2 linked regions of the Arabidopsis thaliana genome follow. The protein of the gene in region 1 interacts with the protein of each later gene in a pairwise test. Each region holds a gene or a part of one and is shown in the gene's direction. Other genes may lie near its edges.

Region 1 (4,956 bases):
GAGATGTCATCAGCATCAACTGGTGAGTAAGTGTCCCATAGATCCCAGTCGTCTCCAAATAGTAGCCACATGAAGCTAAAAGGACTATCCGGTATCTCAGAATTGTCTTCGTTTGGATCCATACTTTTGGAGAAACATATTACCTGACTCAAAATTTTTTTTCAAGGGGCTAGATTAAGCTGAATTTATATAGATAATTAACACTTTCAAGTATCATCACCATTTAACTCTTCCATTCAAATGCAAATACTTGAGTGGACAGGATAGTCTTAATATTGATAAAGTAATAGAAAAAATAAAGACGTTATGAACAAAGAAAAACCACTAAATATATTGTAGCTCAGTTAAAGGAAAAATATATATACCAAATTAAGGCTTAAACGATAAATAATGCATATAACCCACTTTTCAGTGCCTCCATGGATAAAAGGATTTAGCAACTTTAAGGAAAAAAGGTTTATACCAAAAAAAAGTTCAAGGAGAAAAAGACCACTGATTTACAATTGTTGGGTAGTTTGAAGTCCCAAAATGTTAAAAATTCAATTAAAAAAATTGTGACAGCTAATAAAAATGGAACTTTAGCTGGATTCGGAAGATTTATTTTATTGAAAATAAGGATTCTGTTTTAATTATAGCTCTAATACAGTTGAATTGGTTTTTTATAGAAAAACATTTCTTTATTGAATTTTCTTCAATGGAAAAATATCATTTTAGAGTGAATAAGTACAAAAAATAATAAATGTTGCTTTCAACAAAAAAAGGAAGGAAATTTTATGTTTTGGCTTTGTATATTTGCTTTCAACGTCATTAAAACGCTTTTTAAACCGGAGATATGCATCTTGTTTTCCTCATTTACAAGTTCACAAGATGATTAATTACATTACTTGGGTCATGGGCTTAAAAAGAGAGAGTTTGGGTCCAACTAAAAAGGCTCAGTAAAATACGTAAATGGGCCTAGCGTTATAGCGAGAGGCAGAGAGAGAATTTACACGACGACGACGTCATACTCAATGGACGTAAATGTCCAAACTACAAAAGTTTTTTTTTTTTTTTGTGTATTAAAAAAAAAATCTCAAGTTAAAAACACATCAAGAGTATATTACAGCAACTTGTGTGTTAAATCACCAATTGTGAATAAATCGGTTATGGAAATCAATCATTTTTTTTTTTGGTTTAATGGAAATTAATCATTTGATCGTTAAGAGTGTCACTAATTCGATACGTCACTTGCTGACGAATCTGCAGATGAAATAGGCATGGTATGATAAATCTCGTTAAGAATAAAATTTCACCTAGATGTTTGAGTAATTTTTGTAAGATGATGAAAATTGTAACATTTTTCATTGAAAGAAGCAAAGAGACAAGCAACAAGACAAGAGTGTCCCCACGCATGTGAGCACCGTTAACCATAATAGAAAAAAGATATCTTCATCTAATAATAGGTGAAAAAATCTTATAACTGAGCAAATTTTAGAGAATGAAAATAGTGATCTGTGAAATAATTTTTTTTTTTTTTATGATAGACCTCACCTAACAACTAGAAGAAATAATATAAAACCATTATTACTTATATTGATAAACTCTTACAAGATCACTGTTTCCATAAATCTTGACAAAAATGTCACTCCATATGTTTGGTGTACAAGACTAGAAACTGTAGTTTTGAGTTATGTTATTATAATGTTAAACTGTATTATGCTCAAAATTGAACTCCTTTTGAAAGGTGGTTTATCTTCTTTACTAATCGTTTCTTCATTTTCTCTCTAGGAGCTAGGTGGGAAAAAGATTCAACCTTGTCTTAGAAAAAGAAAACCAAAGCTAATCTTTTTCTTTTGTACCTCTCTTTCAAGGATTAACAAAACAAATCGATGAAGCCCGGGTTTTAGTACCTAAACATCTCTTTGTCTCGTCTTTGAAAACCCCCCCAAGTAGATCCAACATCATTCATATCTCTCTCTCTATCTCTGCATAAGCTACGGAGCGATGTCGGCGTGCATCAATGGCTTATGCAGAGCCGTGACTGTCTCTCTTCTTCTTCTTCTTCTTTCTTTCTCTTTTTCCTCAGCTTGCTCCAATGGAAATTGCCAGGTTCTTGATTCTCTTTGCTTATTATTCTCTGGTTTATGGCTATCAAATTTGGGTCTAAATCTTTAGGGATTTTGCATTTTTGTGTCTCTTTCAGCTGCTGGATTCATGCTCCTCGGCTACTGATTGTGTCTCTGGTTTATACTGTGGAGACTGTCCTGCCGTTGGAAGAAGTAAACCCGTCTGCACAAGAGGCCAAGCCACAAGTCCAACTTCCATTGTGAGATTTAGTTCCTATAATTAGTTGGATTTCTCTAGAGTTTCCAATTTTTGAAGATGCGTTGTTTCAAAAGATAGTCTAGATCACTTGGTCTATCAAAAGTTTTGAACTTTGAAGATGGGTTTTGCTGAAGATTTCATTTGGTTGCATTAAAAGATAGTCTAGATCATTTGGTTGTATCAAAAGTTTTGAACTTTGAAGATGTGGTGATGAAATTTGTGTGTGTGTTTTTTGTAGATCAATGGATTGCCTTTTAACAAGTATACATGGTTGATGACTCATAATGCCTTTAGCAATGCAAATGCACCACTTTTGCCAGGTGTTGAGAGGATTACATTTTACAATCAAGAAGATACTATTACTAATCAGCTACAAGTAATGCTCTTATTACCAACTCTCTTATTATAGTTTCCTCTTTTTTTGGATAAAACTCTTGAATGTATATTTTTGTTCTAGAATGGAGTTAGAGGGCTAATGCTGGATATGTATGACTTCAACAATGATATCTGGCTTTGCCATTCGCTTCGAGGGCAATGTTTCAACTTCACCGCTTTTGTAAGTTTTATCTTCAGCTTAACCTTGCTGGATCGAAAGCTTGAAACCTGATTGGATTGGTAAATGTGAACTTTGTTTTCTTTTTGAATCAGCAACCTGCAATTAACATACTGAGGGAAGTTGAGGCATTTCTGAGTCAAAACCCAACAGAGATTGTTACCATCATAATAGAGGATTATGTGCACAGACCTAAAGGCTTATCAACACTGTTTGCCAACGCTGGTTTGGACAAATACTGGTTCCCTGTTTCGAAAATGCCTAGAAAGGGAGAAGATTGGCCTACTGTGACTGACATGGTGCAAGAGAATCATAGGCTCCTGGTTTTCACTTCTGTTGCTGCCAAAGAAGATGAAGAAGGCGTTGCGTATCAGTGGAGATACATGGTTGAAAATGAATGTGCGTATTACACACAGTTTATATCTTTAATGAAAATTGTCTCTGAGAATAACCTTCTCTTGCCATTTTCTTATGATTGTCTAAAGCTGGGGATCCCGGAGTGAAGCGAGGTTCTTGTCCTAACAGAAAAGAGTCTCAACCTTTAAATTCAAAAAGTTCTTCGCTATTCTTGATGAATTACTTCCCGACATATCCGGTTGAGAAAGACGCTTGCAAGGAGCACTCAGCTCCACTTGCTGAGATGGTTGGGACTTGTCTCAAGTCAGGAGGGAATAGAATGCCAAACTTTCTTGCTGTTAACTTCTACATGGTACTGAATCAATCATATAACTATAATATGACTGTTTTTACGAGATCTAGCTAACAAACCATAATATTGCAGAGAAGTGATGGAGGCGGCGTTTTCGAAATTCTGGATAGAATGAATGGACCGGTACTTTGCGGTTGTGAAACTCTTTCTGCTTGCCAGGTATTAACTTATTAACTCGCGCCAAAGTTACTTATGGGTATGAAATAAGATCTTACAAGCCTAAATTATCTAAAACCGGCACCCGTATTTTGGTTCTTGATGTTGCAGCCAGGAGCAGCTTATGGTTCATGCAAAAATGTTACTGTACAGACAAGAACTCCAAGCATGGATTCAACGGCTGGAAGCAACTCAGGTGGAAGCTACTCAGGTTCAGTTCAGTTCTCAAGATCTTTAGCTTCTGTGGCCCAACTAAACAACATTGTTGTCTTCTGCTTCTCATTGCTTCCGTTGCTGATATTTCTACTATGACACAACCAATCAAACCACGTGGAGAGATTCTTAGGTTAGAGAATCTTGATCACTTCTTTAGAACGAATGAGAGAGCCTAAGTTGACATGAATTGCCTTAGAAAGAGTTTCTGATTTGATTCTTGTATTGTAGACTGCAGAGCTATAGGCAGAAATCTTGTGTATGTGTGTCTTCAGCTTCTGTTGATTGTTATGCAACTTATATATATATATATATAGACACAATTCTACTCCAATAGAAACTTTACTGAATATTTATATATATATGTTGTTGATTGATGAGAGAACACATAAGATATATGCAGATTCAATTGTATGAATTACTATGTACACAACAAACAAGAAATATGATGAGCAACACTAGACAGCATGCAGCAACGGTGGTGGATTCTGAGCATTGAGAAGCAATTCCATGGGTTTGATCTGAAGAGCAGGACTGATGGTAAGTAAAGCAATGAAGCAATCTACAGGAACTCTAGTTCCCCATAAGTTGATGGATTCGAGTTTTCTGCATTTGTTTACAAGAACAAGAAGGCCTCTCTCTGTCACATGACGGCAACACCACATTCCGATTGTCTGCATAAAGGATTCCAATTTCGAAAGCGTGATTCTCATGAATCTAGAGAGAATTATTTGGTTAGATGATTGTTGTTACCTTAAGCTGATGGCAGCGTTCTGCAATTGCGAAAAGAGACTCATCGGTTATAAATGTTCCTCCTATGTTTAGGTGTTGCAGTGAGGAAGTTCTTGAAATCTGTCAAATCAAAATCAAGATTCTCTGAAATGATTAAAACAAAAAAGGAATCTTCAAGATTCCAGTGCACAAAAAACGGTGTTAGATTTTACCAGTTGAACAACACCAGAATCAGTAATGGCGGTCATGCCCCATAAAGAGACAGAGTTTAAATTGGATACACATCTTG
Region 2 (5,188 bases), on another chromosome or scaffold:
TTCACAATGCATTTTGATGAGCATGCAAACATTAACTATACATATCTATATATACATTTTTGCAGCCATTTTGTGAAATAAATCTTGTAGTTGAAACTTATTTACAATGGTTGCCACTGGATTTTAATATTTGTTTTTGATAATTAGAAAAAAAAATTTCGAATTAAATATTTGATATTTAACAATTTCCCTAAAATCTCTCTACATTAACTACACGATTGGTTACTAAAATAAAACTTTCAAAATATTTAATATCATTTAATTACTACAAAATTATCATTATTGATATTGTTTTTCTGCATGACTATTACAATTCAATTATAATCATCAAACCGTAGAGATATTTGATAGCATTTAATTACTAGATAATTTTAAAAATAAATGATTCATAAACATATGATAAATAAGATCAACATTAATAAAATAAAACGGGACGGGTTGGCGGAACGGGTTTGGCAGGACGTTACTTAATAACAATTCTTAACTAGAAAATAAAAATATTTTATAGATAGTTACATAGATAGTTACAAATTGTAAACTTTTATATATACTAATTTTAAAGTATAAATTGTCTCCGCGGTATACCGCGGGTGAAAATCTAGTATATACATATTTTAATAAGATATCTTTTATTATCATTTAATGAAAACATTAAATATGTACTTGTTTTTTGTTTCTCTTATAATTCAGGTACTTTGAACAATTAAATAGATAATTTAGCACAAAAGGTATACTATATCCATATAACATTATATTTGTAATCTATGTGCCATCCATTTCTAAACTTTGTAACTTTAACATAGTTGTTGACAATAGAAGTTGCACTAAAAGATTGTTTTTTATAATTATGTGTAAAGAATAATTTACAAAAAATTGGTGAAAGGATGGATATCTTTTGCAAATTTACCAAGAAAAAAAAAAGAAGAGAATATCGGAGGTGAGAGACGTGTATCCACGAGCCAACCATGTTTAATATCAGGCTTGGTTCCCACTATTGCATGACATGGCATCATCCCCATGGTTCTTTCGATCTCGCCAGGTCATCAACCTAAGTGGACCATTTATTTCGCATGATACACACCACCTGTTTATTTCTTTATTTGCTTTTTTATTCCCTATACATGCTTTTTGATTTTGATATATACTGTTCGAGGAAACAATACTCCTAAATAGTATAGAAATATTTTAAGAAGACAGAAATATAAATAATTATATTAAAAATCTTAACATTAGTTACAATATATTAATAAATTCAACAAACAGTTTATATATAGTTTATTCATGTTTGAAGCAAAACAAAGTTTAAAAACAAATATTTTCGCATGTTACTTTATCACAAAAAATGATCTAATTATACTAAAAATGATAAATTTATCGAATCTATTTAATATTTTGAAAAGGATTCTATTTACACTATACATATCTATGGACTACGATAGACATTTTTATTTTTAACACACGAGGCCACAAACGAAGGTATACGTGATGCATGAACACTGTGAAGTGTGAAGCTTCCTATATAATCTACATGTTGATGAACGCTCGATAAAATTATAAACCTAATTATTAGTCCAAAGAAATTCTACAAAAATTCTCTATTTAAAAAAAAAAAGATAGTGAAAAAATGTGTCCGTAAGTAAATAAGCGAATTAAATGTAAAATCTGTCCCAGAAAAACAAACAAAACTAAACTAGAAAAGAGAAATTTGAATTTACTTTTCCAAATTCCATTTACACATCAAAATTTTATTTATTTGTTTATGAGTGATTATCCGAATTACCTCCACCAAATAAAACCCTATCTTATTTCCCCCTAAATTATTAGAAAAATATAAAGTGATTAAGATTCTTTTGAAAGTTTGTGTTTATACTTTATCTTGTACTAAGAGAAACAGAACTTCCCTATAAAAAGCAAAAGCAAGTAAGAATAACGTGTTAAACTAAAACCTCGAAAACAACAAAACCCGAAACTGAAACAGAGAATCCAAAAAAAATGCCACAACTCGAGAACAACGAGCCACTTCTAATCAACGAGGAAGAAGAAGAAGAAACAGCGTACGATGAAACAGAGAAGGTACATATCGTAAGAAACGAAGAGGAGGACGATCTAGAACACGGCGTCGGATGCGGCGGCGCACCACCGTTCTCATGGAAGAAGCTATGGTTATTCACCGGACCTGGGTTTTTAATGAGCATTGCGTTTTTAGATCCAGGGAATCTCGAAGGAGATCTTCAAGCCGGTGCGGTTGCTGGGTACTCTTTGTTATGGCTTCTCATGTGGGCAACAGCAATGGGTCTTTTGGTTCAGCTTTTGTCGGCTAGGCTTGGTGTTGCGACAGGTCGTCACTTAGCTGAGCTTTGTCGTGATGAGTATCCTACTTGGGCAAGAATGGTTTTGTGGGTTATGGCTGAATTGGCTTTGATTGGATCTGATATTCAAGAAGTTATTGGTAGTGCTATTGCTATCAAGATTTTGAGTAATGGGATTTTGCCTCTTTGGGCTGGTGTTGTTATTACTGCTCTTGATTGGTAAATTCTCAATTTTTAGACATGTGTCTTCTTGTGTTATTGTTTCATTTGTCTGTGTTTGGTCCCAGTTTTGTCTTTTTGGTTTATGGTTCTAATAGCAGTTTAGCTAATCTAATCTATGGATTGTTTGAATTTGGTGTTAGTTAACCATTAGCTGTGTTAATTTCATCTTTACACATGAATTTTTGTCACTATGTGCTCATTTGGTCATTGATTCATATGTGTGTTTTGCTCAAAGTTTTGGTCTTTTTGTTGGAATCAGGAAACTCTAGTGAGTGTTTATGGTTCTAATTGTAATTTAGCTAATCTATTCTATGGATTGCTCAAATTATTATGTGTTAATTGATTAGCTGTGTTAATGTCTCGTGGAATTTCATCTTTCGGTGTGAGTTTTTGGTGTTATGTATCTCATTGATTCATATGTATGTGTTTTGGTCACAGTTTCGTCTTCTTGTTTCTTGAGAACTACGGAATAAGGAAGCTCGAGGCTGTGTTTGCAGTTCTTATCGCTACAATGGGAGTCTCATTCGCTTGGATGTTTGGTCAAGCTAAGCCAAGTGGCTCTGAGCTTCTCATTGGTTAGGCTTTCTTTCTTCTCTTTATCATTTTCTTAATGGAACAGTCTTTTAACTTTTTAAGTTCTGAAGAAGTTAGATTTCTCTTGTTGCAGGGATTTTGGTACCGAAACTGAGTTCAAGAACGATACAGAAAGCAGTTGGAGTTGTGGGTTGCATTATAATGCCACACAATGTGTTTCTTCACTCAGCTCTTGTTCAATCTAGAGAAGTCGATAAACGACAGAAATACCGAGTCCAAGAAGCGCTAAACTACTACACAATAGAATCCACAATTGCTCTTTTCATCTCCTTTTTGATCAATCTGTTTGTCACAACTGTTTTCGCCAAAGGGTTTTATAATACTGACCTCGCCAATAGCATCGGTTTGGTTAACGCGGGACAGTATCTTCAGGAGAAATATGGAGGCGGTGTGTTCCCGATACTATACATTTGGGCGATCGGGCTATTAGCTGCTGGCCAAAGCAGCACTATTACCGGTACATATGCGGGACAGTTCATAATGGGCGGGTTTCTTAATTTCAAAATGAAGAAATGGTTGAGAGCTTTGATCACACGAAGCTGCGCTATCATTCCAACTATTATCGTTGCGCTAGTGTTTGATTCATCGGAAGCTACACTCGATGTCTTAAACGAGTGGCTTAACGTGCTTCAGTCCATTCAAATCCCCTTTGCACTCATTCCCTTACTTTGTTTGGTCTCCAAGGAACAAATCATGGGTAGCTTCAAGATTGGTCCTTTGTACAAGGTTTGTCAATTTCGTTCAAACTCTTTTACTAACATTCTTTAAAGATCGCTTTATTAAGCTCGATCTCACCTTGTTGTGCAGACAATCGCGTGGCTTGTTGCTGCGCTCGTGATAATGATCAACGGTTATCTTTTGTTGGAGTTCTTCTCCAATGAGGTTAGTGGCATAGTCTATACCGGTTTTGTGACACTGTTCACAGCTTCTTATGGTGCATTCATCCTCTACCTCATTGCTCGTGGCATCACTTTCACTCCTTGGCCGTTCAAAGCGGAGTCTAGTCATTGAGACTGGACCAAACAAGACAGTGTAAGCGTAGTAGCTATGTCTTGTAATCCTTAGGATCATGAGTTCTTAGCTTTCTCTCTTGTATTATATGTGTTGTTGTTATAAAGCAGCTCTGGTTTTGTTGAAGAAGGCTCTTCTATGTATCAGTAGTTAGGTCCCAGAGACGAGAATTAATAAGAATATGTTCACATCTAAACCAATGTTGACACAGATCAAAAGAAACTTTGGGGAACATTCCCAAAAGTGTACATTTAATCGTCCGATCAGAGTTTCACAGTTTCAAGGATTCTCAAATACTTTAAAGTACATATTGTGGATATAGTCAGGGCAAATTCGATACACAAGGTAAAATGATGGAACCAAAATTTCCATAGATAAACACAAAATCTACTTGTTCTAATATGGTATATTATTAAGGGCTTTGTCCCGATCTATTACATTGGCATCTATGTTTTTGTTAATGTATTTTGGGAAGTGCAGTCTTGCTCATCTTGGCATTCATTGCCTCTTTGTCTTCCCTCTTGTTTGGAGTGGTTTGTTTTGGGTACAAACCAACGTCCCACATTTGAAGTTTAGAAAATAGTTTCCCATATATAAGCAAGTTCAACTTCAACTAGTAAGAGACATTTTGGGAAGGAGATCAATAACAAATCCTTGCGGATTTGAGCATGTAGATTCAAAAAGGACAATATTATACTAAAGGGGAGTTGGAATGGGCTTGGAAAGCCTAATAAATGGTGTTGAACGTGGGTTGAAAAAAATGGACCTAGGGCTTGGACTGTATAATCGGTGTGGGAGAAGCCTACCATGTAACACGATAAGAAGGATACCTCAAGAGAACCTCACAAATAAGAAGGTGTCGAGTCATGGTCCCAAGGTTTCTCTGAAGGGGACGCCCATGTTCGTGGTCCTTGGTTTGAAGGGGAGATTGTTGGGTACAAACCAACGTCCCACATCTGAAGTTTAGAAAATAAGTTTCTAATATATAAGCCAAGTCCAACTCCAACTAGTAAGAGATCTTTTGGGAAGGATCCCAATAACAAATCCTTGCA

Evidence for each region.
Region 2: the proteins of AT5G67130 (region 1) and NRAMP3 interact in a protein complementation assay, tested with the Arabidopsis thaliana proteins (one large-scale study listed by BioGRID).

The regions. Positions count from the first base shown.
Region 1 is NC_003076.8:26,789,616-26,794,571, forward strand, and holds AT5G67130 (PLC-like phosphodiesterases superfamily protein), read left to right. Parts: upstream 1-1,683; 5' UTR 1,684-1,983; coding exon 1,984-2,088; intron 2,089-2,182; coding exon 2,183-2,305; intron 2,306-2,542; coding exon 2,543-2,680; intron 2,681-2,761; coding exon 2,762-2,860; intron 2,861-2,952; coding exon 2,953-3,256; intron 3,257-3,342; coding exon 3,343-3,566; intron 3,567-3,638; coding exon 3,639-3,725; intron 3,726-3,833; coding exon 3,834-4,034; 3' UTR 4,035-4,267; downstream 4,268-4,956. Other genes in the region: AT5G67120 (RING/U-box superfamily protein), read right to left, coding at 1-122; AT5G67140 (F-box/RNI-like superfamily protein), read right to left, coding at 4,394-4,609, 4,689-4,787, 4,880-4,956.
Region 2 is NC_003071.7:9,855,370-9,860,557, reverse strand, and holds NRAMP3 (natural resistance-associated macrophage protein 3), read left to right. Parts: upstream 1-1,779; 5' UTR 1,780-1,992; coding exon 1,993-2,528; intron 2,529-2,969; coding exon 2,970-3,106; intron 3,107-3,198; coding exon 3,199-3,851; intron 3,852-3,932; coding exon 3,933-4,136; 3' UTR 4,137-4,409; downstream 4,410-5,188. UniProt on the Arabidopsis thaliana protein: Vacuolar metal transporter involved in intracellular metal homeostasis. Can transport iron (Fe), manganese (Mn) and cadmium (Cd). Regulates metal accumulation under Fe starvation.